3 linked regions of the Alligator mississippiensis genome follow. The protein of the gene in region 1 interacts with the protein of each later gene in a pairwise test. Links are inferred from orthologs where the notes say so. Each region holds a gene or a part of one and is shown on either strand. Other genes may lie near its edges.

The links. The genes of interacting proteins can lie anywhere in the genome.
Region 2: the proteins of VPS52 (region 1) and WTAP interact in binary tests that used the Homo sapiens proteins (3 or more experiments, as listed by UniProt). The two-hybrid records come from large-scale screens. The link is inferred for Alligator mississippiensis from reciprocal best matches to the Homo sapiens genes VPS52 and WTAP.
Region 3: the proteins of VPS52 (region 1) and TSTD2 interact in binary tests that used the Homo sapiens proteins (3 or more experiments, as listed by UniProt). The two-hybrid records come from large-scale screens. The link is inferred for Alligator mississippiensis from reciprocal best matches to the Homo sapiens genes VPS52 and TSTD2.

The regions. Positions count from the first base shown.
Region 1 is NC_081834.1:64,783,012-64,793,214, reverse strand, and holds the start of VPS52 (vacuolar protein sorting-associated protein 52 homolog), read left to right. Parts: upstream 1-5,676; 5' UTR 5,677-5,860; coding exon 5,861-5,929; intron 5,930-6,013; coding exon 6,014-6,098; intron 6,099-6,177; coding exon 6,178-6,230; intron 6,231-6,309; coding exon 6,310-6,385; intron 6,386-6,674; coding exon 6,675-6,742; intron 6,743-7,154; coding exon 7,155-7,330; intron 7,331-7,413; coding exon 7,414-7,564; intron 7,565-7,782; coding exon 7,783-7,883; intron 7,884-7,990; coding exon 7,991-8,123; intron 8,124-8,350; coding exon 8,351-8,408; intron 8,409-8,508; coding exon 8,509-8,642; intron 8,643-8,745; coding exon 8,746-8,901; intron 8,902-9,015; coding exon 9,016-9,134; intron 9,135-9,528; coding exon 9,529-9,652; intron 9,653-9,831; coding exon 9,832-9,927; intron 9,928-10,108; coding exon 10,109-10,203. Other genes in the region: RPS18 (small ribosomal subunit protein uS13), read right to left, coding at 3,551-3,626, 3,734-3,825, 4,678-4,779, 4,919-5,005, 5,140-5,238, 5,462-5,464. UniProt on the Homo sapiens protein: Acts as a component of the GARP complex that is involved in retrograde transport from early and late endosomes to the trans-Golgi network (TGN).
Region 2 is NC_081824.1:137,732,006-137,742,832, reverse strand, and holds the start of WTAP (pre-mRNA-splicing regulator WTAP), read left to right. Parts: upstream 1-6,099; 5' UTR 6,100-6,138; coding exon 6,139-6,148; intron 6,149-10,827. UniProt on the Homo sapiens protein: Associated component of the WMM complex, a complex that mediates N6-methyladenosine (m6A) methylation of RNAs, a modification that plays a role in the efficiency of mRNA splicing and RNA processing.
Region 3 is NC_081826.1:152,926,026-152,936,335, forward strand, and holds the start of TSTD2 (thiosulfate sulfurtransferase/rhodanese-like domain-containing protein 2), read left to right. Parts: upstream 1-5,582; 5' UTR 5,583-5,692; intron 5,693-5,741; exon of another isoform or gene 5,742-6,475; intron 6,476-7,659; 5' UTR 7,660-7,666; coding exon 7,667-7,858; intron 7,859-10,310. Other genes in the region: NCBP1 (nuclear cap-binding protein subunit 1), read right to left, coding at 2,333-2,418, 5,382-5,415.

The DNA of each region.
Region 1 (10,203 bases):
CTGAGCTGGATCGCCTGACCCTGCTCAGCACAGTGAAGTGCCCAGGTCCCAAAGAGGAGGACAGTGGCTGAGAAGGTGACGATGAGGGCAGCCTCACTCACAGCATCAGACTGTCACCTGCCCCCTCATAGCCAAGGCAAACCTCACCACAGCCAGGGCTGGCACACAGCAGCAGGTGGGGCAGCAGGAGGAGGAAGTCCAGTGCTGGCCCAAGCAGCGCTGCATAACCCACATCCTTCCTCTGCATGAAGCTGAGCTCCCCATACCTCCTCACTGACTCCTGCTCCTCCCATGGCCAAGCCCAGCCTCCCGACCTCCGCCTCTCAGCAGCGTTCTTCCAAAATCTCCCACACTCCCTGCCACTTTCTACTGACAGAGAAAGCTAGTTTTGGAATAAGAAACACTCGCAGGACTGGCGTGATAGCAGAGCAGTTCAGCCAGGCCCAGTCCTTCTCTGGGTAGGGCATGGATAGGCCGATCTATGAGTGTCACAAAGCTGGTGTCAAGTCTTTCATGAAAAGTGAGGATGTCACAGCTGCCCAGGGGAGTTGGGCACAGCTTTCCTCCTCACATGCACGGGGCCTCCCACTCACTTTGGGAGTTGTGAAAGCCCCAGTCCTCCCAAAGCCTCTCCCTGCAGGATGTTGCCATTCCCTTCACCAGCTTCTCCCTGTCCTGGATCAGCAGCACCCAGTAGCTCCTGGCTGTGCAATCCTCACAGCTCTAGTGTTTTGGTTTTGCAGAGACTTACCCAGTAGCACTTGTCCCCACATAGCAACCAGTCCATGGGGCAGAGTCTGAAGCCAGAGCCCTCTGCAGAGAGATGGATATGATCGGTGGTAACAATGCAGTGGCCTGATTCCCCTTCCCTGCCTCCTGCTTTGAGGACACTGGGTTGGCTGGAGCTATTTTTAAGTCCCCTTGGGTTTTCCTGGATTTTAAGGAGGTGCATGGCTCTCCATAGCTCACTGCATAAAGTAGACCATCTTCAGAGCCCCTTGGGAAGCAGAGCTTGCTTCCAGCACAGTGGTCTTGCCATGCCCCTGGCACACTCCCTACAGTGGTGAAGGGAGGTGCAAGGAGCAGGGCTAATGCAGGGCCACACACTAGCTGGAATAGCCCCTGACACAGACAGAGGATTCACTCATTGCAAGGCCCCTTTACATGGTCACAGCAGCCTAGACAGGGCTGGAGCAACAGCAGGCAGGAGCTCAGCGTGAATGCAACAATTGGGAGAAGCGGGGAGCAGCTGAACAGAAAGGAACACGGGGACTCGAGAGCAATGTAGGGAGAGCCATGGGATGGATGTAGTGAGCTAAGATCCCGACAGCTGGGAAAAATAAGGGGGACCTGTGTGACAGTATTATCAAGGTATGCCTGTCATTCCCCCCACCCACCCCCACGGCCAGGAGAGGTCAGCCAGCGCTGGTCAGGCCCAGCTGGAGCACAGCTCTGTGCACTGCAGTGCAGGAAGGTTGGGGAGATGTTGGGAGGATCCAGAGGTGAGCGACAAAGATGTGGAAGGGGCCGGAAAGGAGCAGGAGGTGGGCGTAGTTGGGAAAAGGAGACTAAGGGATATGGGCTGGGGGGCGTGTGTGAATGTGCTGGCAGCAAGCCTCAACTCCTGGAGAGGCTGCCCTAAAGAAGAGGGAGAGCTCCAGTTCACCCTGATGCAGAGGCCAGGACAGGGAGCTGCTGGGTAGATGGCAGCAAGTCAGAGTCAAACTAAACATCAGGAGAATCGCCCTGCTCTCAGTCCATAGAAGGTGGGACGAGCTGCCAGGGAAGTCATGTTTCCTTCCTTGGGGGTTGCAAGAGGAGGCCTCAAGGGTGTCTGGCTGGAACAGCTTAGGAACTGCCCAGCCTGCATCTGTGCAGGGCTTGGAGAAGACAACCTGTGAGACCCGTCCCAGCCCCAGGACACCCCCAAAGTGTGCCCCACAGGCAGCCCCAGCAGAGGTGCAGCCATTTCTTGACTGGCACCCACAGACTGGAGGCCAGACAGGATGGGGCGGTGCATCCACATGGCTTAAGGTAACTGGGTTCCCCCAACAGGGACTCGAGAAGCAGGAGCAGCAGGTACCTGCTGAGGGCACTGGTGCTGGGTCAGGTCAGGTGGGAACCACTCCAGGCACTCGCTACACTCAGGAGTCGACATATTTTTGGTCCCAAATCTGTTGCAGTCCAGGGCTCCTGGGGTCCCTCCATTACCATGGTTGGTCTGAACTAAAGCAGAGCACAGACTAGGGGGCCCAGGCACCAGGCCCTGCTGGGACCTCAGCTGAGTCACTTTGCTCCCCACTCACCCTTGTGCCTGTTTCCCCAGAACAGACCTGATGACAGCTCCTGGCTGTAGAGGACTCTTGGTGCAAGGCCTGGGGCTGCCACCACGCACCAGACAGGACTATCCAACTCCTGACTCTGAGCAGGAGCTTGGAGAGGTTTGTTGGGGACAGTGTCCTGCAGAAACCCTAGTTCTGGTGCAGATCCCACTGATCCAGCTGCTGTCAACTCCTACAGCCTTTGGATGAGCCTTGAAAGGCCAGAGAGCATAGAAGTATTTGGGGCTAGAGCCCCTGGGAACCAGGTTAGAAGGGGGCCTTGAGCCCATCCCCAACACACAAGCCATTGTTTCAGAAAGGTATAGTAGGGCCGCGTTTTGCAGCATCTGGGCACCTAACTGAAGCAGAGATGCTCACTTCATCACTACTATGAAAGGACTAGAATGGACCAGAAGATCAAATGCAGAGTGATTTCAATACAAAAGACGGAACAGAGGAAGAGGGGGCAGGGGGCAACATTGAGAGGGGCACACAAAATAAGTGATAAACCCATGGGGGCTGCAGGGATCCGTAAATGAAGGATGAGAATTTGGAGATGGTCCTTCTAGTGGGCAATGCTACGAGCGTAGGGATTCAGAAATGATCTTGGTGTGGGGCGCAGGGCAGCAGTAGAGGCCAGGTTGAAACAGCTCCTGCAACAGGGAGACCGTAGCCCTGCCCCAGTCCCTGCCCACCCTCTACCCTGAGGGACGGGCTGTGACAGGGATTCCCTCAGGGCTGGGACCAGGTGCAGGATCAGGGGAGCCACATTGGTGTCTTCATGCAAGATCCCAGAAGTGTGTCGGTGAAAATGAAAAAATGGGACCCGTCAGTCACATTGTAAAGTGAGACCTTGCCCGCCTCCTAGTCCCGGAAAATACTCACCTGCCTGGGCCATACAGCCACCCCGTATCCATTGACAAGTGTCAGTGTAACCTTCCCCTTCTTGCACACCGAGTCCCTGCACACACCCCTGCCCCACCTCAACCTCACATAAGCACCTCCTGCCCGTGAACCCCTCAGAGCCCAGGAGACAGGGACAAAGATCAACTCTTTGGGTTGTCAGGTAGCTGCTATCATTTGTCTCACACACTTCCCTGCCCAGGATAGAAGAGAACAGCAGCCCCACGTCCTGCTTCTCCCACCAGCCCTGCCCCAGACTCATCCCTCCAGAGAGAGAAGGGAGGCAGGTCTGAGAACAGCACTTTATTACATACACAGGGAACAGGTTACTTCTTCTTTGAGACACCCACAGTGCGGCCGCGGCGGCCTGTCGTCTTTGTGTGCTGGCCTCGCACACGTAGCCTGCAGTGGAAGGAAAGAGATAACGGTCAGAGCTGAGATATCACCCGCTCTGCCCTCCACCCTGCCTCTGTGGGCAGCGCCACGCCCCATCCCCCAGCCCCACTTACCCCCAGAAGTGACGCAGACCACGATGCGCCCGGATCTTCTTCAGCCGCTCCAGGTCCTCACGCAGCTTGTTGTCAAGCCCGTTGGCCAGCACCTGTGGCAAAGAGGCAGCAGGTCAGAGATGCAGCCTAGCTGGGGCTGAGGTCAGCCAGCCCAGGCCCCACCATGTGGGAGAAGCTGAACTACACACATGTGGGCTGCTGGCAGGGGAGCACCAAGGACAGGCCCCACAGCTCCCAGAACCACAACCACGTGGGAGCTCACCTGTGTCTGGGATACCTCAGACCCTTGGTGCTCTCCCCTTGTTGGAGAGTCCTGAACCTTGCCCCCCTCCCACCCCATTTTGCGGTGCTGGGTAGGTCGCTACATCCCTCCGCACAGATCCTTAGGGCCCAGAAGCAGTTCAGTATGAATCTCAGCCGTTAGCACGCAAAAGAAGGCAGCTGTTAAGCGACAGTTTCGAGAGCAGAGATGTGGAGACCAGGGTCACACCCTGTGCGGATAAGGCGACCCCAGGAAAGAACGAGTGGCAGGCCATAACTCAGTTTCCCTGCTCCTTCAGTCAAAAGCTCAATCTCCGACAGCAATGAGCAAGACCACAGACCTGAACCGTATCCAACTCCCCCATGCCAAGCCACAGGAGTGAGAGTCTGGAACTTGCCCCCAGCCGTTAGGAGGGGATCGTGGAAGCCCGAGACCTTATCTCCCCCTGCAGCAAGTGTCTACATGTTGTCTGACACGTGTAACTGCTCTTAGCCACATTGATAACATCCCTATCAAACAACTGTTAATCAGAGGAGCTAGCTATGGCTTCTGTTGTTCTTCTCCAGATAAAATAAAAGCCCCACGAGCCATCCTGAGTGTAACGGTCCCTTCCCCTGCCAGGCTCAGCCCCCGGTCACGAGCCCTGGGGGATGGCAGGCCTGGAAGGAGCCCCGCCACTCACCTGGCTGTATTTGCCATCCTTGATGTCCTTCTGCCTGTTGAGGAACCAGTCGGGGATCTTGTACTGCCGGGGGTTCTGCATGATAGTGATAACGCGCTCCACCTGCAAGCGGGGAAAGGGGGTTTCTGTAAGCTAAGGTCAGCCGGGGCTCCCCACCCCCCACAGCAGACCTCCCCAGCACCACTCCCTGCAGCCAAACCCCACAGCACCCTGCACCGCACCCTCACCCCGGCCTCCTCACCTCATCCTCCGTCAGCTCCCCGGCCCTCTTGGTCAGGTCAATGTCTGCTTTCCTGAGCACCACATGGGCATAGCGCCGGCCCACGCCCTGCAGGCGAGTGGAGAGCGTAAATACAGGCCTCAGCTCTGGAGAGGGGGTCTGCCCCAGCCCTGCCAGGATCCTGCAGGACGAGCCCCTACCCCAGGGACGGACCCGCAGCCCCCCCGCCGGGTGACCCGCACCTTGATGGCGGTGATGGCGAAGGCGATCTTGCGCCGCCCGTCGATGTTGGTGTTGAGCACGCGGAGAATGTGCTGGAACTTCTCGGGGATCACGAGCGACTGCGCGGGGCAGGAGCAGGTCAAGGGCGATCTTGCGGCCTTCTGCCCCCCGGCTCTCCACCACCCCGGCCCCCTGCGCCCTCCCCGGGGGCCCCGCCGAAAAATGGGACGCGGGGCGCGAAGCCCCAGCCCCGTCCCCCCCAAGGGCCGCCCCGCAGCCGCAGTGCCCCGCGCCCCAGCACGGATGGGCCCCGATGCGCCGCGCGCCCCCGCCCGGCCGTACCATGGTGCCCGCTCCGCTCCGCTCCAGCCCCGTCCGGAAAAGAAAGGGGAAGTGACGCAGTGCCCGGTATTCACCCCCCCAAGGGGCTCCGCGGCTTCCGGTCGGGGCTGTTCCCCTTCCGGCTGGGTGTGAATATCCGGAAGTGACTTCCTGCGGGGGTAGCAGTAAAAGGCATCCGGGTGGGAAACCTGACCCCACAGGGATCCGGAGGCTGTAAACCGTCGTTAGGGCTCCTTTCCCCCGGGTGCCGGATTCCGGCCGCCGGCCGCACTCCAGCTCGGAAAGGGCTTGAATAGTGCACTTCCGGTCAGCTCCCCGGTGCTGTCTGGGAGATGTAGTTCGGTGGAGAACCAGGCCGGAAGTGCTCCCGTGGCCGGCGCGGGGCGGGGCGGAGCAGCGATGGCGGCGCTGCGGCCAGCGGAGGAGCTGGGGCTGCGGGCGGGCGACACGGAGGAGGAGGAGGGCACGGTGAGGCCTCGGGCTGCCTGCCCCTCGCCCTGCGCCCCAGCCCCGGCCCAGGCTGAGCTGTACCCCCCCTTCCCCCCTGTGCAGCCCCCGGGGCGCGGAGAGGAGCAGCCGCTGAACCTGGGGGACCTGGACCTCACCTCGGACGAGTTCATCCTGGACGAAGTGGACAGTGCGTGGGGGCGCGGGGGGGCGCTGGGAGCGAGGGGGGTGGGGTGGGGCCAGCGCTGACTCCCGCTCCTCACCCCCAGTTCACATCCAAGCCAACCTTGAGGACGCCCTGGTGCAGGAGGCGCTGAAGACGGTAAGCTGCCACCTCCTCCCTTGCTGTTCCCTGGTTGCGGCCAGCCCCCCCGGCCTGTGTGACCCCCTCCCCTGCGCAGGGCGTGGACCTCCGGCAGTACTCCAAGCAGGTGGAGCTGGAACTGCAGCAGAATGAGCATGCCTCCATCCGGGACTGTATCCTTGGAGGAGGCGCACAGATGCCCTCAACCACCCTCTGCTGAGCCTAGCGTGAAGCGGGGAGGGGGGAGGATTCAGTTACCCCCGCCCGGGGGAGTTTGGGATGGGGTCTTCTGTGCCCCTGCCCAATCCCCAGCACTGCAGACAGGGGGCTCCACCTGGAGGGAGGGGTGTGCTCCGCTATGTCTCTGGTACCCCGCCCCCCTCCCTGTATCTTGGGGCTGGCTTTCCAGTCCCCCCCCCAACTTCCTTGTTGGTTTCCTGAACGACCCTGGTCATCCCACAGACATCAAAGAGAGCAAGAACATTGCCTCCCTGCACAACCAGATCACTGCCTGTGACACCATCTTGGAGGTGAGACACACCCCCCCCCACATACACATACAGCCCTCCATCCAGCAGACCCCCTTCAGTTCCCATCACTCTCTGCAACCCCACCCGGAAAGGGGCCTACTGCACCCACTCCTGACAGCTTCATAGGCACTGGCAGCACTGCTTCTACAGGGGTGAAACACCCCCTTTCTCTTTTTCCTCTCACAAATTGAACATTAGAGGGGGTGGCTGCAGGGGTGGGATGGGCAGGGAAGTGAGAACAGCTTACCTTCCCTTTGCTCCTGGTTGTTTTGTGCTGGGGTTGGAGACTGGCAGGACATCCGGGGTGTGTGTGTGTGTCTGCTGCGGGGAGATGGTTTCTGCCCCAGTGTGGATGGGTGGGTCACAAGGGTCTGGCCTCTCTGACACTTGCTCTTCCGACGCCCTGGCCCAGCGCATGGAGCAAATGCTGAGCACCTTCCAGTGCGACCTGAGTAGCATCAGCTCGGAGATCCAGACATTGCAGGAGCAGTCAGTGGCCATGAACCTGCGCCTCAAGAACCGCCAGGCTGTGCGCAGCCAGCTCAGCCAGCTGGTCGATGAGCTTGTTGTGCCCGCCAACATGATCAGGTGTGGGGGCCTGGGGCAATCCAGGGGCTGGGGGAGGGAAGTGTCTTCTGGGCTGCCCTTTCATGACTCTATCCCACCTCCAGTACCATCCTGGAGGCGCCGGTAACGGAGCAGGAGTTCCTAGAGCAGCTGCACGAGCTCAACAACAAGATTAACTACGTGAAGGAGCAGGCCTTCCGTGAGACAATGGCCTGTGCCGATGTGCAGCACGTGTTGGAGAAGCTCAAGGTCAAGGTGAGGGTCCATCCGCCCTCTCCCATGTGACCTAGGCTTAAAGGCCAGGGGGAACCATTCCCTGAAGGTCATGGGTCAGGGGTCTTCCCCATCCTTTTCTTGTTCATTTTTGCCTGGAGGAGATGTGGACTTTCCTCTCCTCCCTGCTTATGCAGGGGGCTCCAGCAGCCTCATGGTGCCCAATGACTCCCATGACATCTCTCTGCTTCCCTGAGCAGGCAGTGACCAAGATCCGGGAGTTCATCCTGCAGAAGATCTACTCCTTCCGCAAGCCCATGACCAACTACCAGATTCCCCAGAATGCTCTGCTCAAGTACAGGTGAGCTGGGGGTAGGGGGACCTTCCAGCATCCTCCTCAGCTTGGGGCAGCAGCTGGGCAGGCTCCTGGAGACTCACAGACACCACCCCTCGCCTCATGTCCTCCAGGTTCTTCTACCAGTTCTTGCTAGGGAACGAGCGGGCGGTGGCACAGGAGTTGCGGGAGCAGTACGTGGAGACCATGAGCAAGATCTATCTGTCCTACTTCAAGTCCTACACCAGCCGCCTCATGAAGATCCAGGTTGGGACACGATGCTGCTGGGGAGTGCAGGGCCCCCAGCCCAAGCAGGAACATGGCTGGGGGGTATGGTGGGAACTCAGTGGGATGACTGGGCCAGACTCCCCCATATTACAAGCAAGGGGCAACGGTGCAGCCCTGTGGTGGTGAACCTCCCTGGCTGCCTGTCTGTCCTGTGGGATGCGGGATGGGGCTGGGGTCCTGGTGCTGACTGTTCATCTGTGCTGCAGTATGAAGAGGTGGCTGACAAAGATGACCTGATGGGCGTGGAGGACACGGCGAAAAAGGATATCCTGCTGCCCCAGGGCACGGGGCAGGAGGCAGGGAGGTGTCGGGTGGGGGGAGGAGCAGCATCTCCCTGGTGTTCCCCTTGACTCGTGAGTCCCACGCTTCTTCTCCAAGCCATCGCTGAAGAATCGCAACACCATCTTCACACTGGGCAATCGGGGCAGTGTCATCGGGGCGGCCGAGCTGGAGGGGCCCATCATCGTGCCACACACGGCCCAGAAGAGTGATGTCCGTGTGAGCAGGGGTGGGGGAGGGCAGGGGTCACCACCAGGGGGTCCCCCAGACCCTTGGCAGGGAGGGTTCAGGGTTCACTTCCCCTGCTTCCCCCACATTGCAGTACCCCTTCGAGTCGCTGTTCCGCAGCCAGCACTACGCTCTGCTGGACAACAGCTGCCGCGAGTACCTCTTCCTCTGCGACTTCTTCATGGTGACGGGGCCCAGCGCCCAAGACCTCTTCAACACTGTCATGGGCAAGACCCTTGCCATGTTCCTGGTGTGTGTGTGGGGGGGGGGGTGTTGCAACAGGCTGGAGCTGTGGCTGGGGTCTGTTACTGGGGCAGGGGGCACGGTGCAGGGGGGCCGCATCCTCACCTGCTGCCTTCCCCAGAAACACATGGATGCCTACGTGTGCGACTGCTATGACAGCATCGCTGTCTTCCTGTGCATCCACATCGTCCTGCGCTTCAAGGCCATCATGGCCAAGCGCAACATCCCGGCTGTTGACAAGTAAGTACCTGGGGACATGTCCCACATTGCGAGCCCGCTGCTCCCAGCCCTTATTCCACCCCCTTCTCCCAGCTGCATCAGGGCACAGACACCTGGCACTGGAAGGTGCCAGCATGTATGAGCAGCAGAAAGCTCTCTCTTGCACAGCGCCTCTGCCGCACCAGGAGCGCCATCAGTAGGGATCAGAGTGAACAGGCCATGTCAAATCCTGACTTGAGGAGTCTTGGTTTCCCTTGCTCTAAACCACTAGACACTGTTCCTATTTCCAAATGAAGATGGACCCCAGTAGTCCTGGGTCCCAACCCCCCGCTGCTTTGCTTTAACTGACTGGGACCCCACCCTCATCCCTGAGCTGAGCTGGCATCTGGTGTCTGACCACCTCCCCCGCCGGTAGGTACTGGGACACGCTGCTGGAGATCCTGTGGCCGCGCTTTGAGTACATCCTGGAGCTGAACATCCAGAGCATCCAGAACATGGACCCCCAGAAGCTGGGCTTCCTTGACACACGCCCCCTCTATGTAAGGGCCTCGGGGTAGGGGCTGGGGTCCGTGCAGCCTGTGGGGTGGAAGAGGGAGGCTTTGCCTGTGGTGTATTGGGTGCACTCCCGCTGTGTAGGTGTGAGGGTCTTGAGGCTTTGCCAGGGGTGTTTGGAGGGTGCAGGGAACCCTGCAGTACTCTGACCCTGTTGCCCCTCTAGATCACGCGGCGCTACGCAGAGTTCTCCTCTGCCATCGTCAGCATCAACCAGACCTTCCCCAATGAGCGGACCCACGCCCTGCTGGGGCAGCTGCAGGTATGGGGCGGGCAGGGAGGGGTGGCAAGTACAGCACTGAGCAGAGCCTTGCAGCGGGCAGGGGAGCTGGTGGCAGGTCCCTCCTCTGCAGACAGGCTGGGCATGCCAGTGGAGGGGACTCTGGTATCTGGGGGAGGCGGGTCCTGTCCCGCTGATGCCCATGCACCTGTTCCCTACCCAGGTGGAGGTGGAGAACTTCGTGCTGCGGGTGGCGGCAGAGTTCTCGTCACGCAAGGAGCAGCTTATCTTCCTCATCAACAACTATGACATGATGCT
Region 2 (10,827 bases), on another chromosome or scaffold:
TTTACGATCAGGTCACAAAAGCAGTGGATGCAGGTGTCGCCATGGATGTAGTCTTTCTGGACTTCAACAAGGCCTTTGACACTGTCTCTCACCCCATCCTTGTTAAAAAACTAGGTGACTGTGGCATCGATGCCTACACGGTCAGATGGATTGCTAATTGGCTGAAGGGTCGTACTCAGAGGGTGGTGGTGGACGGGTCATATTCGACCTGGGGGGAAGTGGGCAGTGGAGTCCCCCAGGGCTCGGTCCTTGGGCCCGCGCTGTTCAATTTCTTTATCAGTGATTTGGACGATGGGGTGAAAAGCAACCTGTTCAAATGCGCTGATGATACCAAAATCTGGGGTGAGGTGGGCACGCTAGTAGGGAGGGAAAGACTGCAGAAAGACCTGAATAGGTTGCAAGGGTGGGCTGACAAAAACAGGATGCGTTTCAATACGGACAAGTGCAGGGTGCCGCACTTGGGCAGTAGTAACTGGCAACACGCTTATAAGATGGGAAACTCCCTTCTTGAGAGCACGGAGGCAGAAAGGGATCTTGGAGTCATCATTGACTCCAAGATGAACGTGGGCCAACAATGCGAGGTCACGGTCGGCAGGGCTAACCGGACCCTATCATGCATCCACAGGTGCATCTCAAGTAGGGCCAAGGAGGTGATCCTCCCCCTCTACGTGGCACTGGTCAGGCCACAGCTGGAATACTGTGTCCAGTTCTGGGTGCCCCACTTCAAGAGGGATGTGGACAACATTGAGAGGGTCCAGAGGAGGGCCACCTGCATGATCCGGGGACAGCAGGACAGACCCTACACTGAGAGGCTACGGGACCAGAACCTGTTCAGCCTTCACCAGAGAAGGCTGAGGGGGGACCTTGTGACCATCTATAAACTCACTAGGGGGGACCAGAAGCGTTTGGGGGAGACCTTGTTTCCCCCAGCTCCCCCCGGGATAACAAGAAATAACGGCCACAAGTTGTTGGAAAGTAGGTTCAGATTAGACATCCGTAAGAACTACTTCACAGTTAGGGCGGCTAGGATCTGGAACCAACTTCCAAGGGAAGTGGTGCTGGCTCCTACTCTGGGGGTCTTTAAGAAGCGGCTTGATGCCTACATGGCTGGGGTCACTTGAGCCCAGTTTCTCTCCTTCCCAGGCAGGGGGTTGGACTTGAAGATCTACAAGGTCCCTTCCGACCCTACTTGTATGATTCTATGATTCTATGAGGCTGCAAGACATCATGCACACCCACCTCAACCTGATGTTGCAGCAGCTTGTCATGGCACATGCCCTCATACTCACCAGCCACCAGTTGGCCATGCCGCTCATGCTCACCCACCGCACCCTGCACCACAAGCATCGTGGCCAGGGCCACTGACTTTCATGCAACCAATGAAGATGAGGCACTCCAGAATGCCATAGATGCTGGGGTGCTCTGGCACCACCTCCAGACAATCGAGCACTGGTTCTGGGCCTGCGCCACCAGCAGTGACTGGTGGGAGTGGATCATTCTGGGCACCTAGGGCCAGAGACGATCCAAGCAGGGTGCAGGGCCCGGAGCAAATCAGCCTGTGCGGGGCCCTGCACCCAGACATGAGGAAGCCGGTGGCAGATTCAACCGTGGGGAGAAGGACTGGGGGGGTGCTGAGTGGCCAGACATGAAGCCGGAGGCAGAGCGGAGTCGCCGCACTGCTCCGCCTGGCTCAACAGGGCCCCCCAAAGCGTGGGGCCTGGGGCGGTTGCCCTGATTTGCCACCCCCCAGGGACAGCCCTGCCTAAGGCAAGGAACAGTGGCTCCAGACCTTCCTCATGCACTGGCCTACTTTCATGAATGTCATCGCCCAGCTGGTCCCCACACATCACGCGCTAGGACATTGGTATGCAGCCACCCCTCACTTTCGAGAAGCTGGTGGCCATTGCCTTCATGAAGCTGGCTACCCCCATCAGTTACTGCTTCCTGTCAGCCAGTTCAGTATGGTCAGGACCACAGCTGGAGAGGACATCTGGGAGGTGTGCCAGGTCATCCAGGACAACTTGGCCAACTGTTTCATCTGCCTCATCATTCCACTAGAGGTGGTCACTGGCTTCCACTGCATGGGCTTTCCCAACTGCTTGGAGACCATGGGCAGCAACCACATCTCCATCTTGTGCTTGGGTCAGGCCACCCAGACGTTCACCAACCACAAGGGCTACTTCTCCATTGTCCGGCAAGGTGTCATTGACCACTGAGGCCATTTCACTCACATCTTCACCAGCTGGGCAGGCAGCACCCACAATTTCCAGGTCCTTTGCCACTCCCCGCACCTTGGACTGATACAAAGCAGGCACTACACTCCTGGGGCCCCTGGACTCATCATCGTTAACATAATTGTCCCACTGCTTCTCATCAGGGACCCTGCCTACCCCCTCCAGCCCTGACTGACAAAGCTCTATGGGGGGCAACTGGACTGCTGGAAGAAGCGCTTCAACTATTGCCTGAGCAGGTGCTGCATGATGATGGAGAGCACCTTCAGCCACCTCAAGGTATGCCAGTGGACTTTCAGCATGTGCCTTGAGGTGGACTAGGGAAACCTGATGCAACTCATCATTGCCACTAGTGTCCTTCACAACATCTGCAAGACCAGGGGGAGGTTTTCTGTGAGGCCTGAGCTGAGGAGGCACAGCGTGTGGAGTGGATCTGGCAGTGTAGGTACACGCAGCACAGGGATGGAGGAGATGGCAAGCCCCCTGCTGATGTTGTGGGCCCCGGCTCTGCACAGTAGCAGGCTGTCCAGATCTGCAAAGCTTTGGCTGACTACTTCCTCACCCTTGTGGACCAGGAGCCCTTCCCACATAAGTAGGGCCAGTGCCTGTGCCCTGGCACCATGGCATGGGTCTCTTGCCCTAGGCTCCTCAGCCCTGCATCCTGGGCAGTGTTGGCCACAATGGTACCTGGACACTGTTTCATTTCCCCTCCTCCTCCCCAATTTTCCCTCCCCACATTAGGCACACACCAGGGTACGGGGGAATGTGGCACCAGGAAGAAACTTGCCACCAAATTTTTCATGTGTTTAATAAAGAAAACCTGCTGAATGTTGCCCATGGCAGAACTCATTCCCTTTTCCCAATTCATACAAACCAGCAAACCTTCGGAGGGGGCAGTGGGCAGGAGAACCTGGCTGGAAGGGGCAGTTAGGACGGGGTGGGCGGGAGATGTCAGGGGGAATACCACAGGGGCTGAACTCAAACACAAAACCTTGGAGTGGAAGCATGGGGTATGGTGGCTTTTGACCTAGCATCCTGCTTTCAAGGTTCAGAAGTGAAGACCAAGGACTTTTCCAATGTTGCAGCTGGACAGGTGTGTGATCCCAGACCCACTGTCTGTCTGAGAGAGTTGCAAGTCAGGAAGCAGCTGTTGCTTGGGGGGTGGGGGCTTTGTGATGGGTGGCTTCACCACAGTGGACTTTTAGCTCTTCAACATGGGCTCCCTGGCCCCAGGACCCAGTCTCTCCCTTTGAGGAGTCCAGATGGCCCCTGAGTACACTTGAGGCTCCTGTATTGCAGCCGACCTGACCCCTGGGACTGCCTATCTCCACCAACGCTGCACTGATCCCCTACAACAGGACTTAGGCCAAGAGTGGAGCCACGGACAACAGAAGAGTTCCCCCCAGACTCCATGGCTGGCATCAGGACCAGCCCACCATTTTTGGGGCCCCCTGCAAGAAATAGTCTTGGGGCCCCCTGCCCCGAAGAAGCCAGCAGTGGTGGTAGTGGCAGCGGCAGGCGGGAGTGGCGTACAGCCAGATGTGAAGGCAGTGGCAGCAAGCAGCCAGATGCAGGGGCATAGGCAGAGGAAGAAAACAAAATTTGAAGGGGGTGAGTCTGCACAAGTGCATGCGCGCGCACACGCCCCCCCATGGAAAAGTCTGAAGGGGGAGGGGAAAGGGCCAAGAAGGGAAGCAGCATTGCCCAGCACTGCACCGCCCCGGCCAGCTCCCAGCCCCAGCCCTGGTCCCAGCTTCCTCCCAGCCCTGGCCACGCCAGCCCCAGATGCCACACTAACCATGGCTGCCTCCTGGCACTGGCCGCACCGGCCCCAGCCCTGGCAGCATCCTGACCACACTGGCCCAGGCCATTGCACCAGCACTAGCCGTGCTAGCTTCGGCTGTCTCCCAACCCCGGCACCTGACCCGGATGCACCAGCCCTGGCTGCGCACTGGCTGCGGGGGGTGCCCAGAGCCAGGTCCCGAAGCAGGGCCAGCCTCAGCTGCCTGCCGGGCTGGAGGGGATGGAGCGGCACCCACCACATTTGAAGCGGTGGCAGCAAGGCACGGAGACATGGAGCAGAGGCTGAGCCCAGCTCGCAGCTGTGGCCTACCCTCACCCATGCAAAGATCAGGGGGCCATGTGCCCTCCCCCACCCCTTGGCTGCCCAGTGCCGCACCTCTGGAGGAGCCTCTGGGCTCTGATTGAACCACGAATGGGCTAGGCCGGGGCCCCAGTCACAGTGAATGGGGGCTGGGCTGGGTCGTGGAACAATCCCCACAGTAAGGAGGGAGCAGGCCAGGGGTAGTGGTGAATGATTCGCCCTTCCCCTACGTGACTCTCTCCTGCACTTTGGGGGTCTCAATCTGCCCTCCTCCAAGCCCAATGCCTGTGTTGGGCCAGCTGTGATCCTGGCGGCGAGTGTGCACGGTAGCTCAGCGTGCCCACCACTGTAGGAACCTAAGGCCATGCCTGCGGCAGGGGAGCAGCAGCGGTGGTGGCCAATCTCAGGGGAGGCACCCCCTACAGCGGCCAATCGGAGGCAGGGGTGTGAAATCAGAAACTGGAAGTGCTTCCTGCGCCACTGCCACCCCTTCCAGTTTCGTGGCCTGTCGGCACCCCCCACAGCCCTGCACCTGGGGACCCTCCCCCCCGTATCGGTACGTCACTGCCATGCTTCCCTATCTGGGGAGACATTTCAGCCCCGCATCCCTGATGAACTGGGTCTACACTCCCAATATTCCCCTGGTGAGAGTCAGCCAGGCCCTGAGGGATTAGCTTTTCTGGTTCTCCTGGGGGAACTCCAGGCAATACACTGTGCTCCTGCAACATGGTCCCCTGGGAGTATCTCAACAGCTGGAGAGGGGTCATCTGCTGTGATGGCACACTGGGGAACTCTGGGTTGCCATTCAACATTGGATAGAGCTGACACCCCCTCTGGAAGACTTTGCTATTGCTGCTGCTATTGACTTACTGCTCAGCCTGTGACCTGACCCAGAGAGAATTTCCCCAGACCCCAGCTGCATAAGAAGAGCCCTGCCATGGGCTGCCCCTGGCTTTACAACGCTGCTCCTCTACTGAGAATATTCCAGGAGGCAGCTGGAAGGAGAGAGAGAGGGAGTTAGGAAAGACTAGGAGCTTTTTTTGCTAGGGTGAACTGTTTTCATTCCTGCTGTACCACAACTGCACCCTGACCTTGGGGTGCTCTCTGCCAACTCAGCCTGTGGCAATGGCAACTGGAGCAGGGCAGCATATACCTGCAGTTGTAACTGTTTTTTACACTTTGCCTTGGGAGCTCAATAAACGCTTTCAGTGCCTTCCCTTCCGTGCTTGGGAGGAGAGAGAGGTGGTTCCACACAACTGCTCTGGATAGCTGCAATGAGACTCACTTCTTCCAGGAGATCAGCTTGGCCTTAAAAGATAGGGGGGAGAGGGGGATGTCAATAAGGCAGATTTATGTTCTCATTGAATGCCAGGGACTCCCTGTTATTACTGAGAAGGAGCTAGCAGTGAAAAGAACCCCAGGGGGACCAGGCTTCTTGCTAAGAGTAGCAGAACAAGCTACCTGAGCACCTTAGGCTGAGACAGTGCCTACTGTGGAGGTAGTGGCATTGAAATAGTTCAATTGGGCAGAGACTGCTTAGTACAGTGGTCTGCCCAGTGCAAAACTAGCTGCAGCACAGTAACGCCAGAGAGTAGAGCATTAGCTTCTATCCCAACAGCTGAAAGCACCTCTGAAGACCAGCCAGTTAGCCTAAAGAGAAGCACCTGTGGTGGCTGGGTGGTCACAAGACCAGGAGAGCAGAGCCTCAACTACATATAAACTCAGGGTTTGGACCTAGGGGGTTATCTTGCAGACAACCAGGGAAGGAGATCTGTATTACAATGGCTAAGGCACTGTAGTAGCATGCATGCTGGTAAGGAACTGAGAGTTGACTATGAGAGGGGGGGGATTTTCTTATGTAGCTAGAGAGCTTGATTTGATTTATGGCCTGAGGCCTGACTTTTTCCTATTGTTATAATCCAAGGACTGGGATTGGGACTGGCAGGAGGGGTGGAGGTGCCAAAGGGGTATATGAAATTTACAAGCCCTCTTGAGGGCTGGGCTCAGAACATGGGTGAGGAAGGCTGCAGTCTAAAGATGAGGGCACAGACCAAGGCCCTGAAGAACATAGCTGGGGCCCTAAAGGGGCATTATCAGGGCCCTAAGGGCAAAGCTAGAACCCTTGAAGAGGGAGCCCAGGAAGGATGAGAGAAGAGCCTTGAGGGGTGAGTGCTACACCCTTTAGAAAGGAAGCTGGACCTGGGAAGGGGCAGACCCAAATCCTAGGAGGTGAGACCAGAAACTAGATGAGATACTGGCCTGGGGTTGAGGGATCTTCTCCCAGGATGATGAACTGTTAACATGCGCAAGGTATGGGCCTAGCTAGAGTGTAGTCAGAGCCCTAAGGTGCTAACTTACAAAGCTGTTATGAGAACAAAGAGCCAGACCAGTGATTCCTTGGGATTTGAGGCAGCCTCCCAACTCTTTGAGGGGGGGGGGGAAAAGTTGTACCAAAAAAATGGCAGGTGAGGAAAAGGGAGAGACTCTAAACCCGGAGGTGAAAACTGAGAGATTACCAGAGCCTGGGCATTCACCTAGGCCTATAGGCAACATGTAGGGGTGCACATGTTTTTCCCCCCCCCCCTGATTTGTGGCTGCTGCTGGCTTCTGTGGGTGGTTACCATCCACACCTGTCCCCCACTTGCTGCTGATGTGGCCAGTGGTAGTTGTGGGCAGTCCTTGCTAGCTGCCACTGACTGACTGCAGGTGGTCCCCTCTTGCCTCTATGGTACCCTCCCCCTGGTCTCAGGAGGCACCAGTCATTCATGCCTGGGCCACCAGAGATCCTGCTGTGTCTCACTACAATGGGACGTGGGCTGATAAGTGGCCAAGGGAACTAGGTGCCTCAACTGCCTTTCAGGATGGTGGGGTGGGAGTTACTGCTCTGAGTGCTGAAGGATAGAAGCCTTTTGAGCACTTAGAGGCCTGGTGCCCTGCACTGTGAACAGTCAGGGTGGGATGACTCCTCCCTCCCACCCCAGCCCCTTTCTGGCCTTGGCCAAAACCTCCATGAAAGGGGGCTATGACCACAGTAATGGCTTATAGGCTGCAATTCCCCCTGCCCTTCTTTCTCCCAGGGGCTCCCCAGTTTCCCCCAGGGCATTGGTTCCCATCATGGCTGTAATCAAACCATACTGTCCTGGGCTGCCTCCCTTGAGGCCCAAGTCATCGGGGGGGGGGGGGGGGGGCGTGCTGACATGGCCCATGCAGGTCATGTGGCAGCTGTGCTGGGGGTGGGGGGGACACAACTGGGCACTCTGTGCTGTGGCCATCTGTTTGGCTACAGCTGTAGAGCACTTCCTGCATGTGTAACCTGTGATAAACTTAATGTTTGTACCTAGCCTAAGATATTCCTTCAGCCAACTTCTCTTTGGCATGAGAGAGCCTTAAAATAGTGAACTCGAATCTGGGCTCTTATTAATTCTGTGTTCTCTTTGTGATAGCTTTCGCTGTGTAATTCCTTGCTGGCCAGTAATTGTAATGACAAGGGTATTGTGTCTCCACCTCCCCTATGGGAGACTGTCAAACTCCCCCCTCTTTTAGTGATGGTTTTTTTTTTTTTTTTTTTTAAACAAAAAAAGTAAAACAAAAAAATAAACCCTCTAGCCTGTCTCCTCCTGTTTTCTTCCACAGCTTCATTGTCTGAAGGCTCCAGGTAGGCATTCTAGGCTTATCCCTACACCCCTTTCTGTTGGAAGCTTCCCCGGCTGATGGGCTGCTTTTTTTTTTTTTTTTTTCCCTTCTTGCTTTCTCAGCTGTTCATGGTCTACTTAAGCTAAGACAATTACCTTCCTGTCTTGCAGTGTCTTCCTGAGTCTCATTTCTTAAAATCCTACTCTCTGGGGTCATGTTACTGCATTAAAACTAGTCCATTTACTACTGCTGTAGTGGAGAGAGCCTAGACACATGAACAACATACAATTCAAGGACCCCAAATTCAGGATCCAAAATAGAATTTAAAACTTGTACTTAATTTCTTGATTCTAAAACAAAACCTGTTGTTGTGGGCCAGACTCGTGTGGTCAAAATTCATGATGGTTGATGGCGCCATATCAATCTTAACTGGGCCCAGCTATTCTTATTTGTAAATTCGTCCAAGGTACATAGCCACACTTCCTAAAACACTAGTTTCCAGCCATATGATTCAACCGTAGCAAAGGTGTGCTCAGAGCCCAATAGCTCCCCTCTTGGCTGCTCAGTGAATCCAACCATCCCCTTCAAGTACTTTTATTTATAATGACATTTCTAGCTTTGTCAGATCTGGCAGCCAGTAGGTGCTGTATGAAACTGAACACCAGGCACAAAAAAGGGGTAGTACCAGCTGAACTGAGGAACCAGAAAGAAGAGGAGATTAGGTGAGAACAGGAGAATAATAGTAACAGAACCTTTAAGATGCATTTTAAAATGTCAATAAAAGAATGATTTTTATGCCTAGAAAGTATTTTAACATGTTTTGTTTTTATAATTGATCTCCATGTTGAAACATTAAAAGCAAAACAAAGCTAAGCAAGAAAGAAGTGTTCATGCTCAAGCTCCTTAGCAGTAGGATAATTGGATTAATGTGCAGGTCCAGCATTCATAGAACCTATAACAGGCTGAGGAGATTAAAAGCAGTACTCAGACTGTCAATAACCATAGTCCACAGAACTGGACTGACCTTGGAAGCTAAGTAAGTTTGTGTTTGGCTAGTAATTTTCTGGGACCCACCTTGGAATAGTGGGTGCTGCATACTTCCTGATTCTTTAGGGCCACAATGTGATTTATTCAGTACATTTCCCAACTTTGCCATGAAAAGCAGGTGCACAGAGAGAGTTTTGTTGGGTTTTTGTTTTTAAATAGATCATCTGATCTCACTAATACATCTTGAACAACTGTGGGGGGGAGGAAACACTATACTGTAGAAGTATAAAACTACTAATGTTGCAACACTATTGTGCTTCCTGGAAGTAAAATGTTTAATGGCATCTTAAAATATTTAAGTATCTTTTTGCATTTAACTTGTGGGACTATTTTACTGGTGTTCCTCTTTCACTCTGAATACTTTTTTTTTTTTTTTTTTTTTTTTTTCCATCCTTGCATGTCAGCTGTTATGCAAATGTGGCACAGAATATTCATACAGGTGGTGAGAGAAATCTATACCTATTCTCCATTGCATACTTTTGTTTGCACATGAGTGGGGGGAGGAGGGGGCAACAGCAAACTTTAAAAAAAAAAAAAAAAATGTAGAATGAATGTTGCATTGCATTTTATTTGTACTAACATAGGACCAAGAAGCTGTAACTGAAATTGGGCCTTACTCAGCAGAACAATGTACCTGTTACTAATAGTCTAGACCTTGAAGATTTTGTCATTTTTGAAAGAAACACTAGAATAAATGATAGACCTTGATGCTTTTTTACACTTTTTTTTAAAATTTTATTTATTTATTTTTTTTTAAATCTCCTGTAATTTGAAGGGACAGAAAATATGAAGGCAGGAGGAATATTAAGAGCTTTGCTGAATTAATACTACACTCTTGTATTTACCTGGTTCACTCTCATTCTGCCCAACTAATTAGCTCACTTGAACTTATTCTGTAGGGTTAAATAAACAAGCTGGCAAATCTTTTCTTTTTGCACTTGTAGAATTATCCTCTGTCCATCTCACTGTTGCATGAACAAATCCAGAAGTATTCTATTTACTACCTTGGTGTTCCTATCAAGGGCTGTGCCTACAATTTGGCAGCCTTCAGACTATATTATACCCCTCGCATATTACTAATGAATACAGAATTGGACATCTTTAAAGAACATTGCAAGGCAAGTGTGGTGGAATGGTCGGGGGGGGGGAGGGAAAAGGAGAACAAGCGAAATGTAGCATCTCTTCAGTTTCTGAAGTCCTAGAGAATGAAGTGTGACTTTAAATTTGTGACAAAACACTTTGATTTAAATATTTTTGAAGATGGGTCCTGCATTTCCCTGAAATACTTTAGTGTGACACTGTCAAGTAATTTAAAGAGGAGTAATGCTCTGAAAACTGAATAAGGAAATAACCACTTCTTACTAGCAGAACCATCTCCTATATGTCATATGCCCTCTAGCGACAAATGTTTATGCTGCTTTAGCTTTGTGGTATTACTAGGAGTGAAATACCACAGAGTTAACAACAGAAAGCGGGTAAGTTCTTTCTGCATCACTACTGGAGAGTCCTCAGTCATGCAACCTAGCTGCACAAGCAGCAGATGCATTTAGGCCAGCAGAACCTCTTGTCCCTTGTATCGGGAGGGACACACTTACTTGTCAACTAGGCAGCTCTGATTAAGCAACTACGGGGGGGGGGGTTAGCTCCCAGAGTCAGCCTGGGTGTTTATTTTGCTTGAATAAGTACAAGGGAAGCCAAAACAAGTTCCTTCAAATTGTACACCAGTTAATGGGGATTTGGCTATCAGGCAATATTAATAAGAGTAGCTACATGGCAAGCATGTTTTGTGATTTCTTTGCTCTACCTGGTGGT
Region 3 (10,310 bases), on another chromosome or scaffold:
ATGCCTATACATTTTGGCATTTGATTTCGTTTTTTTTTTATTATGGAAAATCAGAACTCCCCCTATCCCCTTCACTAAGCAGGATGCGGGTCCAGCTGCAGCTGTCCCCCCCACAGTCTTGTGGTACCGCTGGTGCTCTGATCCAGCCCTTACTCCCAAAACACAGTCCCCCCAGTCCTGCTTGTGCTCCTCACTCCCAACCTGCAGCCCCTGGCCCTACCAGTGCCTCTCACTGCTGACCCACAGACCCCTGGCCCCCCTAGCCCTGCCAGAGAGGGCCCCCCACTGCTAGGGCTACAGGACCATGCTGCTCACTCTCTGCTGCATGGGCACCAGCTGCAGCCAGCCAGCAGCACCTGAGCCCCAGCTGCTGTGTGGGAAGCAACAGCTTGCTGCAGCCAGTGTGAATCACAGACCCCACTGGCCCCCTGCTTCTCTCTGATGGTGGCACAGCTGAAGCGGAGCTCATGGGGAATGGGGGAGTATGTGGGCTCCCTGCTGCAGGGCTACATGCCCTGCTGCCCTCCCCCAAGAAACCTCCACAGGCCAGCAGGCAGGACCCAAAATGGGAGGGCAGAGCAGGGCAAGAAGCCTCAATGTTGCCACTGCCATGAGCCCTGTGCTAGTCATGCTGCCACGGTGAGGTGCCCCCTGCAGGCCCAGCAGCAGCAGGGGTGGTGGTGGCACTGAGGAGTTGCGCCCCTTGCCCTCCACCCCAGCAAGGAGGGGGGCGCCTCATCGTGGTGGCATGGCCAGAGCAGGGCTCCCGGCAATGGCAGCACCAAGCCTCCCCACCCCACTTTGAACCTCCTGCACTGGGTCCCGCCTGTTGGACTGTGGAAGCCAGGGGGAATGCAGCAGAGCAGGGACCCCTGAGCCCATGTGCCCTCCCCAACGCACTGCCTCTGGTACAACAACCTGTCCCTGGGAGTGCACACACAGGTGAGAAGCCAGCCTTCCTCTTCACCAGATGAGCCAGCTGTGGCTCTGTTCCACTCCCCCAGCAGGCCCTGCAGTTGTGCATTCCGCCCTGGCCCCAGGCCCTGCGCACCACCCCAGCTGGGTAGCACCCCCAGCCCCCAACTCTGCCCCATTTCCCCCCTCACCATGGGGGCCTCAATCTGCCCCTCCCATTACCTATGACCTCCCCCAAGAGACTTACCTGCAGGCAGCTGGGGGAACTGCTCTCCACCACTGTCTGTACTACATGCGGCACCCTCTGAGTCTTGCTCCCCCCAGCCCCAAGCAGCCCCTTGTAGGCTGGAATTCTCTCAGCCATCAAAGGGAAACCCACAGTTTCCCACGTTTTTCTCCTTTAAAGGAGAAAATCTGGGTTTTTCTGCGGCAAAGAGAACACCCAGATCTCTGTTCATTACAAAACCAATTAACCTACTACCTGAACCACAAAAGGAGAAAAACAACACAGAGAAGTTTCTGGATTTAAAGTTAACTATGAAAAGTCACAACTCCTAGACATTGGTATAGGACCAGATCAATGAAGAGAGACAGTTATAAATATAAACGGGTAACTACTTCATTAAAATACCGAAGGGGGAATACTACTAAAAAAAAAAGACAGGACTTGTATAGCTACAATTTTACTCCTTTGATTGAAACAAGATTCTAAAACAGATTTATAGAACTGGCCAAAATATGAAATTTCATGGTTAGGTAGAATTACAGCAATTAAAATGAATGCTCTAGTCTAGCTTGCTTTACTTTATTATTCCAAACACTACCTATTGTAGTGCCAACAAATCTTTTACATGAGTAGCAGACTATGAAAGATAAATTTATTTAGGGAAATAAGAAACTTAGATTTAAGAATTCTATCCTGAAAAGACTTCAGCAAAAGGAGAAAGAAATTTAAGCTTCCAAACATTAAGCATTACTTTGGTAGAAAGAAAAGTAGGGTTCAAAGGGACTTCCAGAGGTCTAGTCCAAGCTCCTTGAGGCTGGATCATTACATACCATCCATTATCTAACCCATTCCTAACTCTACACAAATCAACCTTGTCACACAACTGCAAGGCAAATTGCCCAAAGACATCAAAAGCACCCTACCCTACCACAAGTGAAATAGAGAGACAAGTCAGTGTCTAACTGCTGCAAGGATGTTAAAATGCACTCAAGAGAACTAAGAAAGAAGGTCAAGCCCCCACTACAGAGTAAATTGACAACATTTTGAGTAGGTAATTTTTCACAATTACTTTTGGATATTTTTTTTGGACTCTTAATTGAATTCAAACTCAGCATTATTAAAAAAAAAGACAGATGCCAGAAATCTTGTGCCCAAGCATGTTAAGGACCATAACTTACTGCTAACTCTTACCTTCTCACCCACTCTGCATATTAAAGATTCTAGTCTCTCTTCAATTTCAGATGGCTCGGATGTTCTCCTCCTTTTATGAGTTTGCCCTGTTTCAACATATTAATAAAAATCAAGAATAAATGTTAAAATTATTCCTTGCTTAATTTTTAAGAGTTTGCTTAACGGTTCCGTCAGTCCCATTCTCATTCTAATTTTTTACTACACCAAGGACACACGACATTACTACTGTTATCCAAGACAGACCAAATAAATGTTAAAATTAACAAAGACAACATTTGTACTTCTACACAAATCTTACTCTTCATACAATGCCCAATTTTGACATCTTATTAGGAAGTAATTTCACAATGCCAATAGCAGCATATTATAAAGCTAAAAAAATGACTGGAGAATTAACTTTATTAATTTTATGTTCCCCATTAAGCATCCCATTGTGTTCTCTGACACCTGTGTTAAAATGTGATGAACCTTGAGCAAGGGATTGTATCATAGATCCCTTTAAATGTATTTACACTTTTTTAATTTGGGAAAATGACTAGACACTTGAGACTCTGGCAAACTAAAAAAAAAAACGGAGACTTATTAAAAGGGTTTAAAAGTTGAAACAATGATTTGGAATTCATCTCTGCCAGTAAAAGGTAAAAAACCCAAGCAGTAAAATAATAAAATTCTGCATGGGTAGAGAATCTACTATTAATTCATTTTTAATTATATATGCCCAAAGTGCTGAACCTATTCTATTTTTTTCCTACATACTGTTATGTTGTTCATGTCACTAATATCTGAACATACTCTAACAGTGCTTTAAGCCAATGTTGCCATTCTGTCTTCTCCTGAGGTAGTGGTGGGAGGAGATTTTTACATAAAGTTAGCTCATCTTGTTTTATTTCTTAAAGCATACATGTCATTCTGTCCATTTGACAAGCCAGGTAGAATGCACTTTGTCTTTGCAGCAGAAGGTGGTAAGGCTGATGCTAGTCCTCTATTCCCGAGGAAGTTAATTCCAGACTAGAATGCACTCCCTGCACAAACATGTTTTCCCATTTGGGCAGAAGATTCCACCACACCAGAACAGCAAAACTGTCAACAACAGTCTCCCCAGAGCCGTAGATAACACTTTAGATGTACTGACTCCAAGCAGCTGAGCACCTTGAAAACATGAAAAGTGACCTAAACTTGATTTTATGTTATAAAGAAAAAGAGCAGAGGGCCAATCCGATGTCCCTACTGCAGCCTACATCACTGAGGAAATATTGCAGCATTTTTACTGTTCAGATTTCCTAAATGCTGATGGCTTATTCCTCAAGTGTACAGTAAACCTGATGGGAAATGACAAAAAGTGTGTAGAATAGACTGGGGTCACTGTCTGCCAGGACAAGATGATGCCAAGGCAGCAAGAAACAGTCTGTGACAGAAGGATCTGTGTTCTTGCACTCCTCACCAATACCACAGACTGAACTGACCAGTTACTATGGTCATCTTTAACCAAAGAAGGCTGCACACTAGCTCTTGGTCATGTTTATGTTTAGACAGATGCTGTCCATCTATAACTGATTTTGTGCAGGCACTGGGATACCTTGGTAATACTGAGATGGCTGTATAAAAAGGTAAAAGTAGAGCAGTTAGTCATCTGCATATGGCTAGCACTTGTAGTCAGTCTATCCAGTAGCTGCACATGGAACAGAACTCCAGGATATCAGGCAGACTACTAGTTGCTATGAGGGAGAAGATCCATGTGAAATAGCACACTAGTTTTTTGCAGTGCTTGTGGCTGGATTCTGTTGCAAATAGTACCAACATGCTGTGCTAGTCCATATCACTCCTTATAAAGGAATTTCACAGTTTCAGAGTGATAGGAAGCCTCTTTTGGTCTATAATACAGCTTCACAGGCTAACAGAAACATTTCACCCTTTGTTTCTGCCTTCTCTGTTCATCTAATGTAGCGTCAAAAATCAAAATCTAGGTGGACAATGCGTACGTAGACAGCCACTTTTAAACAGTATACTGATGTGCAAGGCTTATATACAACAATAATTTGCCAGATCCACAGATCCTAAGTAATACTGCATGAATGCTTCCCTATAACATCATAGGCCAGGTGTCAAACATGGCCCACAGGCCAGGTCTACCCTACACAGCCATTCTACCTGGACTATGGGACTACCAGCAGTTGGACCCCCAGAAGTTGTGGGTCATGACCAGGGGAAAGTGGGCAGTGGGAGGCCTGCTGCCAAATCCATGGACCTCAGGACATGGTGACTGAGGCAACTGGTGACAGTAAGGTGAGCAAGGGCTCACACAGCCCCAGTCACCCTCTGCATGTGATGCCTACCTGCCATGCCCCTGACTCTCTGGCCATTGGTCCCTGCCCCATGCCCCATACTGGAGCCAGAGATGCTGCTGTGTACCCCAAGTCCGAGCAACAGCTACCACCACCACCATCATGTGCTCTGGGTCAGAGTTGGAGCTGCTGCTTCCTCATGACTTGGGCTGGATACAGCCCAGAGAATGCTGATCCAGCCCAGGACACGGGAGGAGTTTGACCACGGTTAGAGGCAGTTATGGAAGACAGCAGAGCTCCACATCGGAGGATCCTGCACAGGGTCGCAGGAGCCACAGCACTGCCGATGCAGATAAGATACATTAGGAACGATATGCCAACCAGAACTGCTGCCACAGATGTTACCTCCCACGTTCCTTTCCTGACATGCACTTAGCACCTGCTACTTGACAAGGAACCCCAAATGGCTGACAGGCCCTGGCCCCTGCCCCACACCTAGCAAACCATACAAAGCCCTTGGGAACATAAGGTTCGCATTCGTTTCCCCAAAGTAAAACGAGACGCGGCCACGCTCCCGGCACGGGACCGAGAGCAGCACGCGGCCGACACATTCACCCGCGCGCGGATCCCAGCGCCTACAGCTGGTCGCAGGCAGATGCCCAGGCCGCGCCGGGAGGCTCCCCGCCCCCCGGGCAGGAAGCGCGGGGCGGCCCCGGGACCCTGCCGCTCCGCGCTGCCCGGTTGGGCGCCGCTACCCGGGCCCTCACCATCGCTGTCGTCGCTGTGCCTCCTCCGCGACATGCCGGGCGGCGGGGCGGCACCGGGGACCGTGAGCGGGCGGGCGAGAATCTGCGCGGAGCGAAGGCCGCAGCGGCAACGGGCGCTTCTGGCGCGCTCTGTTCCCCCTCCCCACTTCCGGCCGGCCACAAGCGCCTTCCGGGGCAAAGGGCGGGGGAAGAGGAGGAAGAGGCTCCGCAGTAGCTTCCGCCGTCCTCTACCCAGCCCGGAAGTGGCTCAGGCGCTACATGACGTGGGCACGCGAGACCCGCGGGATATCTCGGCCCGGACTAAGAGTTTAGTAAGTGCTGCGGTCGCCGTGAGCCGGCAGCCTGAGTCGGCGTCCGAGTAAAAGCCACCTTCTCCTGGGAGGCCCAGCCCCTCCCCTCCCCTCCCCTCCCCTCGAGGCTTATGTCTCCGTGGACTAAAGTGCGCCCGGCCCGGCCGCGGCACTCGCGGCGGTGCCTCCCCGCGGCCTTCGGCATTTGGTCGAAGCCAATGCTTCGGTCTCTCCGGAGGGCCGGCCGGGGCCGGGCTCGGGCTCGGGCCCGGCCTCCTCCACCACGTCTCCGCGGGGCAAGTTCTGCGCTGCGGCCGAGGCTGCCTCGGGCCGGGAGGCAGTTGGCGGCGCCGAGGGCTGCCAGGGGTGCAGATGAGAGACAGGCCTGCAGCCCTGCGCCTCGGGCCAGGCCTTTGGCCCAGGCCCTGGCTACACGCTCTGTATGCTCTGCGATTCACTGGTCAGTTGCACAATAAGTTTAGACCAGCTGCAAGTGTAAAGTAATTGTCCCACCATAAAAATGCCCCTGGCTACAAAAAGAACCAACCAGCAAAAAAGTTCTTGAAAATGGGTGATATCTGTAGCTGGTTTCTATCCAGCTTTCATTTGAATGTACAGCAGCCCCTGAGACGCCAGAGGACCTATTGCAGGATAGCAAGGGGGGACACACTCAGTGGAGATGGGGTATCTGCAGTGACTCGGCTCAGGGAGGTACCCATTGTCTTCTGCGCTGACAACAGACTTGCCTGTTTAAAACCATCTCCTAACCTGTTTGCTTTACGTGGCCCTCGCTGCGAACACCTGGTACGTAGTTTGCATTTTCTGGAAATCTGCTGTGCCACTGAACTGCTACCTGCCTGGTGGAGGTTCAGGCTGTGGGGGTCCTTCTGAAAAAGTTTCACAATAAGAGAGAGAGAACACCAGACACACCCAGAACCATGTCCTGGTTAAGAGTTCTTAACGTTTTTCTTCACCCCATTCCCCCAGCATGCTATAAAACCTCCATGGCTTGCCTCACCTATACCTGGATGCAGAGAGTGGGACTTGGTGGCCACTCAACTGAGCAGCAGCAGTACAGAGCCTCACTTGCCTGCCCACAGCCACCACCCAGAAGATGGAGATGGTGGGGCAAGCCCACTCCCACCCCTTCCTTGGGACTTGCCTCAGCCCAGGGGGACTGGGCCAGGCAGACCCTCTGAAATGTTCTCATGGTCCTCCAGGGGGATGCTGCCCCTCTGTTTGAGAGCCAGTGTTCCAGATGCAACATCTATCTGCCTAGTTCATTGCTGCATCTTGTGGGTTTGGTTGACTTGTATTGATAGTTTCACCACTGGGATAAATGCCTTGCAGCTGCTGTTTTGTTAGGAAAAAATGGTTGCAAAAAGGTTGTGAATTGTAAATAGTTCCTCAACCAAAGCATTTCCAGGATGAAGGGTGTGGGGTTAGACATGCTTCCTTCAGTAGCCAAACTCAGCAGAATTAGCTTCCTGCAAATGAGAGCAGAGGGAACAGGAGGCCTATAGGGAGGAAGAACTGTACCTTCTAGCATCAAACTCTAATCCCCTGTGCAATAGTTGACCCACTGATCCATCACACAGTTGTAAACTGGCCAGGATTTTTAAAAAATAGTTATTGTTTAGGTTTAAAGCCATCTGGCAAAATTAAAGTGTGGAGGGGACTGCACAAGTCTCCTGTTCACTACTTAGTCTGATATTTCTGCTCTCAGTTATTTGATGCTGGGGATCTTAGGACAGATCTTTGATTACTTCTTCCTTGAAATTTGTTGTATATTCTTAAAATGTTGTCCTAATAATAGGATAGAACTTGCAGCTTGCTCACTCTTTTGCTGTTGTAAGACAGTGACAGTAAAAGACTGCAGAGAAATATTTTTTAACAATGAGTTTCTTTTCTTTTAAATGTATGTGTGAAACTGAAATAATGTTACTTAGTGTACATACTAAAACGTTGTTTGCACCTTTTTTCTTTAGGAAACTTATGCCTAGCTCTGGTGCTGTAGCAATGATTTCCTCCTCGGAGCTGCTGGCTGGAGAAGATGAAGTGGAGTCTTGTGTATTAAAATTTCCAGAGCTGGATCTGAAAGAATCTGTTCCTCTCACATCCAAACCTAGGCTGAAAGTGGAATTAGATGCCAGTGTGAGAAAGAAGTATGCATTTGCAAAGAAGAAGGTATGTTTTCTCTCACTTTATTACATATGTTCATTTTATGTAGCACAGAACAATATTCCTTCATTAGTTTGAGTGACTAAATTCATAGAATCACCATTTTGTTCATACCAATTGCCTTACTTCTTGTTATTGTATTTGGCTGTAAATTAATTTGTTGTCATCACATTATTTAAATCAGAGCTGTCCAACTTCTAAGCAGCTGGGGACTGTATGCCCCATGGGATGAGTCAGTGGGGGCTGCACTAGCAGAGGCCATGGGCCCCCTCAGACTGCACCTTGCACACACAGGTGGGTGCTCCCCCAGCCCACTGCACTGTGAGTGAGGACAGGTGATTTCTTTACCCTGTTGTACTGTTTTCCAGGTGGGTAAGTGCTTCCCAATCCCATTGCACTGAGCACACGGACAGGTACTCATTCACCCCACTGCACTGCATGCACAGAAGCAGGTGCCCAGCCTCACCTGCAGCTTTTTGCAGGCTCCTTAGTGGCATCATGCTGCACAGATGTTCCTGGGGCTGCTGGCTTCCCTGGCACCATGGGCTGTGCCATTTTGTGCTGCCCTGCCCTGCTCCCAGAGGCTGGGTTAGGCAGTGAATACTAGTCCTAAGCCCCTGCTGCTGCTGCCGCCTAGAGTGAAAAGGGCATGGGCAACCAAGTTGTGGGAGGGGAGAGAGAATGAGTCCATAAATTAACTCCTTGTGGGCTGCTAGTTCAGGAGCCCTGATTTAAACTAAAGGAGTCAGCAGTGTCATCACCATTTATTTACTTTAAAGGACTGACATGATGTGAAGCCATGACTCAGCAAAGCACCTGAAATCATAGATAAATAAGACGGAAAAGGGCTTTAGCGGTCAGCTAGTTTAGCCCCCTGCTCTGTGCAGTACTTAACCACAGACTTAACTTTAAGTGCTTTGCTCAACAGTGTGGGATTGAAATATGGTGATATATATTTGAGGACTTTGCTGATATCTGAAGAAGAGACTTCACTGCATTAAATTGGTACTGCAGGATAATAACTTCCTATTGCAAAAAAGATGTAAATACAAATTCAAAACTAAGTTTCAAGCCTAGAGCAGGGATTGTCAGCCTATGGCTCCCACACCAGATCCAGTTGAAGGTCAGACTCGATTCAGGGCAGCACAAGGAATCAGGCAGAATGCAGCTGTGCACAGCTGTCTTTCCCCTCAGCAGTTTCCTGCTCTGTAGCCTTCCCTGCTGTCTCCTACTTGCACTTAACCTCATTGCAGTGGGGCCAGGTATCTGCTGCTATACCCCACATGTTGCATTGATCAGTTACAGCATTTGTTCAGACTTAACAGAGATGCAAAGAACAGCAGGTGGTTAATTCTTCAGCAGTGATTTGAGTGTGAACTTCCATTTCAATATGGATTGCTGCCTGGGGTAAATGAAGGTTATTACAGTTTTAAGTAGAGGTGCACCCATATATCAGTCGCATTTCGAATCAGCACAGATAACAGGAAAATTAACATAATTGGTAATCGGCTTTTTTTGGCCAATAATATCAGGGATAAATGCTGCGTGCATGCATGCATGCAGCTGTGGCATGCACACAGCCGGGAATGCAGCCCAGCAGCTTGGAGATCAGTGTCTGGCTGTAAGTCTGTGGGCGAAGGGGCATCAGGGGAGAAAGGGGGTGTGCAGATTGAGGCCCCCATGGTGAGGCAGGGAGTAGGACAGGGGCAGGTGCTGCGCAGCCAGGGCGGTGAGTGCAACTCCACTGGGAGTGGGACAGAGCCATGGGAAGCTCATCTGGAGGGCGCATGGGGTGGGGGGTGGTTCCCTGCCGCTGTGCACACCCCTGAGCAAGGCATGGGGGGCATGTGCCCCCCTGGTTTGTGCACAGCATGAGGGCGAGCTGCCCATTGCGGGCTTGGGGTCAGGGGCTGCACCAGCCTCTTCCTGGTGGTGGGGCTGGGCTGGGGCTGCACTCCAAGCAAGTGCGGGGTGGGGCGGATGGCAGTGGCACTGGGAGGGGGGCTACGGGCTGGCTATGGGGAATTTTGGGGTGGCTGTAGCCACCCCTCCCAGTACCACTGCTACTCACCCTGCCCTCTCCTGCCCCGAGTGCAGCCCCAGCCTCTCCGTTGGGAAGAGGCCAGCGCAGCCCCTGGCCCTGAGCCCACAGTGGGCAGCTCACCCTTGCCCCGCACGCAATTCCAGTGTGGGGGGGGGCGCACATGCATCCCTCAGGGGTGTGTGCATCAGCGGGAGCTGTCCTGTGCCCCTCGGATGAGCCACCTGCAGCTCCATCCCACTCCTGGTGGGGTCACATTCACGCCCTGGCTGGGCAGATCATGCCCTTGCCCCTGCCTCACCATGGAGGCTTCGATCTGTGTCCCCCATGCCTCTTCCACCCTGGCAGACCTTCCTACCGGATGCTGCTCTCCAAGCTGCTGGTTGCATTCCTGTAAATCGGCTGTTGGATTGGTAT